Linked DNA regions of Bombyx mori. The protein of the gene in region 1 binds, or shares a complex with, the protein of each later gene. Links are inferred from orthologs where the notes say so. Each region holds a gene or a part of one and is shown in the gene's direction. Other genes may lie near its edges.

The links. Proteins that work in one complex are often made in the same cells at the same time.
Region 2: the proteins of mRNA cap-binding protein eIF4E (region 1) and eukaryotic translation initiation factor 4E transporter are in contact, whole or in part, in a crystal structure (PDB 4UE9), measured with the Drosophila melanogaster proteins. The link is inferred for Bombyx mori from reciprocal best matches to the Drosophila melanogaster genes eIF4E1 and 4E-T. Residues at the interface, in NP_001261626.1 of Drosophila melanogaster: Lys80, His81, Pro82, Leu83, Met84, Tyr91, Glu93, Asn105, Ile107, Thr108, Val113, Glu114, Trp117, Ser118, Leu119, Tyr120, Asn121, His122, Ile123, Lys124, Tyr135, Leu174, Asp175, Leu178, Ile181, Gly182, Glu183, Ala184, Phe185, Asp186; in NP_726618.3 of Drosophila melanogaster: Arg9, Tyr10, Lys12, Leu15, Leu16, Leu18, Arg19, Glu21, Lys23, Ser24, Arg25, Gln29, Cys30, Ser31, Arg33, Gln37, Leu39, Gly40, Phe41, Trp42, Lys43.

What each region holds. Positions count from the first base shown.
Region 1 is NC_085128.1:2,392,102-2,396,097, forward strand, and holds the start of mRNA cap-binding protein eIF4E, read left to right. Parts: upstream 1-1,170; 5' UTR 1,171-1,577; coding exon 1,578-1,607; intron 1,608-1,899; coding exon 1,900-2,078; intron 2,079-2,727; coding exon 2,728-2,905; intron 2,906-3,391; coding exon 3,392-3,479; intron 3,480-3,996. Other genes in the region: spermine synthase, read right to left, coding at 1-213. UniProt on the Drosophila melanogaster protein: Recognizes and binds the 7-methylguanosine (m7G)-containing mRNA cap during an early step in the initiation of protein synthesis and facilitates ribosome binding by inducing the unwinding of the mRNAs secondary structures.
Region 2 is NC_085122.1:3,354,388-3,357,122, reverse strand, and holds part of eukaryotic translation initiation factor 4E transporter, read left to right. Parts: intron 1-241; coding exon 242-414; 3' UTR 415-2,735. UniProt on the Drosophila melanogaster protein: eIF4E1-binding protein that regulates translation and stability of mRNAs in processing bodies (P-bodies). Probably plays a role in P-bodies to coordinate the storage of translationally inactive mRNAs in the cytoplasm and prevent their degradation.

The sequences.
Region 1 (3,996 bases):
GTCAAACATCCTAACGGATACAGTCGTTCCTTTATTACCGGTTAATAATTTCAATGAACCATCTTCCAATTTTATGTCGGTGGCTAGGATCAAATTTGGTATATATTCTTTTAATAGAGTTTCCAATTGTCCAAAGATATCTTTTTGGCCGTTTTCATCTTCCAGACGGGCCGCTTCAATCGAGAAATCCAATAAGATATTGTGAACTGACATTTTACAGTGATGTATTAAATTTTGTTTTGTTACTGTATAATCTAATTATTAACCGTCGATTAAGCCGGCAAACCAGACGACGCACACGGAGTTTTGAAACCGATCAATAATGTGAATTGCATAGATTATACACTTTGGTGAATTGTGAATTACAAATTACAATTTTATTATGAATTTATTTCCGGTCTGTGCTCGCATAGGGTTGTGCATGCCTTTTTGGCGGGAACTCGAGAAGTGAAGTTGTGTGATTTGTTTTATTTTGTCTATTTAGTGTTTCTTCAGGTGTAAATGTGTAATAACGGTGATTTATTAACTGTTTAGTATCTGAGAAAGTGCACAAATGTGGGAAAATGAAACAAAGCCGCTGAACGTAGCTTCTCGGGATCCTCCAAAAAGTCCACTGAAAAAGTCTCAGTAAATGATCACCATTTTACTGAGGTTATATTTCATCTCATTTCGTTTCATTTTCATTTCATTTCATTTGACTCCATATTATCATTTTTCATAAACATAAGAAAATAAATTAAAATAAGACTTAATGGTCTTAGTTACCAGGTCATAAAATCCCTTTAAAAAAAGAGGTTGTGCATAGATAAGGATATCATACGATGATTTCTATTAGCTAGTTCTAAATAGAGGTCAGCAGCGAAACAACTTTTCACAGCTATGCTTTGGTATATTGCTGGTAAGACAGGTGGCTACTCTGCTCAAAAGTTTTCGAATGGCAATCGCACGCTGTAAGGCGCATTGTGGGTAGGCCTTTCACAACGGTTCGAAGGACCGACCTGGTGAAGGTCACGAGATCTGCTCGACTGGTCACTGTAGCCAACTTCGGAAAAGGCCTGTGTTTATAAGGTGATGATGGAAATGCCGTGATTTAATATTTTCCATTTGCCCAAAACACGTCATTTCGGATCCTCGCGATCCACTATCGGTGCTTTTAGGCACCCCCCAGTACTGGTGACCATTCTCGTCACTCCTCTCGAATGCGACGAAGGGTTCGGCGAGCAAATTAACCCTGAGTTAATCAGCCCACTGAGTTTCTCGCCGAATCTTCTCAGTGGGTCGTGTTTCCGATCTGGTGGTAGATACTGCGAAGCACTGTTCTTAATAGGGCTAGTGTTAGCAAATTCACCAGGCTTAGCCCCGTGAACTCGCCTACTCGCTTCGTGAAGCTGGTATAATCCCATGAGATCACCAACATAGGTAGACAAAAAAATGACACCCTTAAATAAATCTAGACCATGATTAGCGCACATCCACTTTATAAAATAATAAATAATTTACGCGATTTCTGATTTGGCAACCCCGTTGACTCTGTCGCTCCTTTTCGTAGGAAATTTGCATCGTTATCCTCTCAAGATATGGCTGGAAATACTACAGAAGAAGTAGAGGTGGGTAGATGTAATTATTAAGAAAACAAAGTAATTTTCTACCTCGTTTTGCCGGTTATACAATCGTAAAACCTATAATTTTGCCGCAATTTGCTGATGTGGCTTCGTTAACTTTCACTGTTACATTTGTTAGCATAATTGTCTAGTTTTCAAGTATAAATTATAACTTTACCTCGCTCGAGTGGTTTTCTGTGTAAAAATATTCCGGATTAAGTCGTTAAACGACTTCTACGAAAATAACAATATTTTTTTTAGGTTAGGTTCACTAATAAAAATGACCTGTGTTTTTAAGGGGTCTACTACCACTGAAACGAAGACCAACAGTAACGCGGAGGTGCCCCCTGAATTTTTGATCAAGCACCCGTTACAAAACCAGTGGAGTCTCTGGTTTTACGACAATGACCGAAACAAAACATGGGAGGAGAATCTTATTGAGTTGACTACATTCGACACAGTTGAAGACTTTTGGAGGTAAAGGAAAATGCCGGTTACAGAAGTAAATTATAAATTTCATACATTTTAGAAGTACATTCATGCAACTTCTATACATTTGCAACCTAGATGAGAAAGTAAATTCTGATGGAACCTGAACTTAAACAGAATTAATTTTGCTCAAGATTAAACTAGAACACTTTCTTATAGAGCTAATTATTACGTATCTATTATAATTAATGTGATTAGTTGTCGATTTAATCATCTGTTCTTTTATTTACTTGTTATATTTTCTATAATAATAATGTATCTAACATGTAGAATGGAGTGATGGATGCCATAGGTCCATGACATATTTCCCTTTCGCGCACCAATACATCAAGTATGTTCAAAAAATCATTGAGGGGTTTTTGCACAAAAAACTTTTAAGAAATACATCAAAAATAATGAGTGACTTATGGAACCAGTGACTACTCATTGCTTACTGATAGATGTCAAATGGCAGATACAATGTGTCTGTCGTAGCCCCCTGTGCTAAACATGGTTTCTATTTTTGTCAACATGTATTCATTCATTAATTCTATAGATTCATTCCATTATAATAAGAAAATGCCAAAAATTACTCTGAGTAGTCAATTTAGTAATTAGTAGGTTTTTATTTAAGCAAAACTGTTATTGCACATTACAGATTGTACCATCATATTAAGCTACCGTCAGAACTTCGCCAAGGTCATGACTATGCAGTATTCAAGCAAGGCATTCGTCCTATGTGGGAAGACGATGCTAACAAGATGGGAGGAAGATGGCTTATCAGTCTTGAGAAAAAACAACGCTTTACTGATTTAGATAGGTTCTGGTTAGATGTGGTATGTTAAACTTTTTTATTATATACCGTTTTAGAATACTTCTTTTTTGAGTATCAAGTTTGACATAATGAAAGGAAAAGATTTTCTAAAAATATGACAAGTTTTTCTGAGCACATGTTTGTGAGTGAATATTAGCTTGATTGCACTATCCCATGTTTATAAACATTTAATAAGATGTTGTAGCTTATTTAAGATCATTGGTTTCTAAGAAACCACAAATCATGCCTCAAATAGTTAAGGCTGCCCACTCAAATCCTGTTGAATATTAGAATACAGTTACAGATAGAAACTGTATTGTAGGAAGGAGATGAAGGATCATCTCCTATCTCATTACCTACAAGCTGTATGCTTGGCTCTATGTTCTGTTGATCTTTGTTTGAAGTAATGTGGATGTGTGGAAGGATGTGACCAGTAAGCACCTACAACAAGGAACCAGAGATGTGTGTGAGATGCATTAAAATTGAAGATATTGTATTTAATTTTCAGGTTCTTCTTTTAATTGGTGAAAATTTCGAGAATTCAGATGAGATTTGTGGTGCTGTTGTTAATGTCAGACCAAAAGTAGATAAAATTGGTAAGTTTCAAAATAAAAATCTTCATTTTCTTAGTGAAATTACATAACATTCTAAGTTCTATGAATATCTAGAGGGTTTTGTTGTGTTCTTGTTAACATGAATAATAAGTAATGACATTAGCCAAGGTCATGTTGGAAAACGAGCCAAACACTAACAGAGCATCTGTTAAACAAACATAATTAGTAAATGCACAACTCACATTATAGAATTATCTAAAGTGATTTGTGAATTTAAATTGTATTATACTATGCACAAATATAAATAAATTAAACTATCTGCTGTACTGTGTTCTCTAATTATATATGCAGTAGTGCATATAATTATCTTATTATCTATGAGCACGTACAATACTGAAGTATCAAAGGAAACTGTTTATCATCACAATATGTATTAGTTTAATTTGTTTAGCTTGTAATTGATAATGATTAAAACATTATGGATCCTTATAAACCCTAAAATATCTGTAGTGCAGAGGAATAAATAAAAAAATATACAGACTGAAAGATAAAATTCATC
Region 2 (2,735 bases), on another chromosome or scaffold:
GTTTAGTGCGAGTTTTTTTACTTCTTAGTGTCTTCTCAGTGGGTCGCGTTTCCGATCCGGTGGTAGATTCTGCGAAGCACGGCTCTTGCTAGGGTTCGTGTTAGCAACGTCGTCAGGTTTGAGCCCCGTGAGCTCACCTACTAGTTAAGGTTACGCTGATATAGCCTCTCAGCTTAAGTAGGAAAAAAAAAGCAATATGCGATCGAGTAAATCAGTTTGAACATTGTTCGTGTATGTCCAGAGCTGGGTGGGGGCGGCGCGGCGGGCGGCGACAACCAGCTGGCGCGGTGGTTCTCCCCGGAGTTGCTGGCACGTGCCTCGGCCGGGAAGCTGCCCTCCGTGCACGTGCCCAACGCGCTCTCGCTGGAGGAGCTGGAGCGACACCACGCGCCAACCCCTCCCGCGCGCAACTGAACCCGCCCTGCAATACATCGAAACAACTGAACCACACCACACGGCTCTCCGTCGTAAACATCACTGCTCTGTATGCTCAGTGCGAGTTTTTTAACGTTCTCGATAGCGTAAAAGTTAACTCTAATTTGTATGCATTTGGAACAGCGCCCCTAGCGGCAAACGTAGGCAAACGTTGCAGCTTTGTAGCGTTTTTAACGCTCTCAATAGCGTAAAATTTAAATTTGTATGGAGTTGTAACGTTGGCCGCTAGAGGCGTTGTTTTAACAGCATACAAATTTGAGTTAACTTTTACGCTATCGAGAACGTTAAAAAAAAGTTTACTCTAATCTGTATGGGGTTGAAACGTTTACCTACGTTTGCCGCTAGAGGCGCTGTTTTAGCTGCATACAAATTTGAGTTAACTTTTACGCTATCGAGATCGTTAAAAAACGAACACTAAGCACACTAGTATTAGAATATAACAGCGGACTTAGGTTGCGACTAGATAATTGACGACCTTTTTTGTTGATCTCTAAAACGTTTAATACTGTATCGTAACAAAGCAAGATCGTTCACTTTTGAACACACAAAAATTGCCGAATATTGAAATGTTTATCGTATGTCAAAACAACAATGCGTTTAGTGTTTAATGTCATATAAGAAAATTGTGCTGCTGTATTCTATACGGGTGAGTTCACAGAATCGAATTGTTTCTCAATCCAACAACGTTTACTAATTTTTACACTACGATTATTATTATTATTTTTCGACTATCAAAAGTAAACGGCTACGGAAGAAATACCGCCTTTTTAGTATAACAAACTTTGAGAAGCTACGGAAAGATTGGAAAGACTAAAAATGAACAGAAAGACATGTGATGTGTGTCGTCTCGCATTACGATAAAACTATGGACGATTACGAAGATTGACGACCGTAGCATTACAGTTGATTCGGTTCAATTTGATATTGTAAATGCCATTAATTGAATTGAATACAGCCTTAGGTCTCATTCGCACTAGAGTTTTTTTTAGCGCTCGTTAAAAAATCGTTCAAATAGAACATTCATTTCCTAGTGTATGTTCATATGTCAGCGCTTTTTTATCCCGCAGTATTGCATTTTGAGCGCCAAGCGTTGTGCGTTACGGATTACACGTCACATCGAGAAAGTTATAAAAGCGCCAACGCCGAGTTTTAACGCGACGTTTTTAAAACGCCCGTGCGAATGAGGGCTTATTAATGGTGAAACATAGGAAGCGTAAATAATAATGGCTGTGATTGACCAATGGGCGGCCACTCGGATTAGTCTATTCGTGCTACGTCATTAACGAATTTAAGGGGTCCTTTGTCAGCGTGAACAGTCTAGAAGTGATGACGTCACGGAACGTTCTCCCTCCCACTGTTATCGTCGAGAATAGGGATGTTGAAATTATCGAAATTTTTGCTCAATTTAAAGACTTAACGTTTTGTTGTTGTTCACCTATCGATTTTTCTTGTACGCTTTCAAAAGCTCCCGCCGAACGCTAAAAGCTAAGAATTAACGTCCCTGACAAGAAATGTTTTTAAATTGAGTAATGTATTATTTTTTTTTCGGAATTTGTAAACATCCCCGTGATTGAGAATAATGTTTTTCAAATGACGTAATGTGCATTTTGAGGTACGGGTGTCCGCTCGATAGTGTTCAGTGTGTTTAAAAGCTTGGAATTGTCGATGAAAATTTGAAAACACAATAAAAAAATTCAGACTAGTACAACGAGACTGATCGTACAATTAATTGTTTGTAATCATCGAAATACTATTTAAAAAAAATAATAATACATAAATATAAATTTAAGAAATGTACTTAAACTATAAAACTTGTTAAATGTTAAACATTATTAGATAGATTAAATGTACGTATTGATGTCTCGTCGGTCACGAATTGAGAACTTTTTGGCGGTTTTTTTTTCGAATCAAACTGTTTTTTTTTTTTAATTTAGCCTCTACTAAAAATTTTAATGAGCTATTCGGTTATATTGAATATATTTTTTATTAATCACATTGAATAAATATCAAGTATAAATATGAGAGTATGGCAACCCTAACTGGTTTTCCGGAAGCGGCATCGTTCGGAAACCGGTTACCATGGTTACCGCGTTACACACAAATCGCGTCCAAATTTAACCGTTTCCTTTTCTAGCTTTTAAACGAACTCACACTAGTACCGTCCCAAGCCAAAAAAAAAAATACATTAGCAATAACAGAGTCATTGACGTGACTGTCTTAAAATTGTAATGTCAAACGGAAATTTGTAACGTTCCGAGTCCGATATGAATGTGCTCGCATCACGAATAGTCAAATGAATA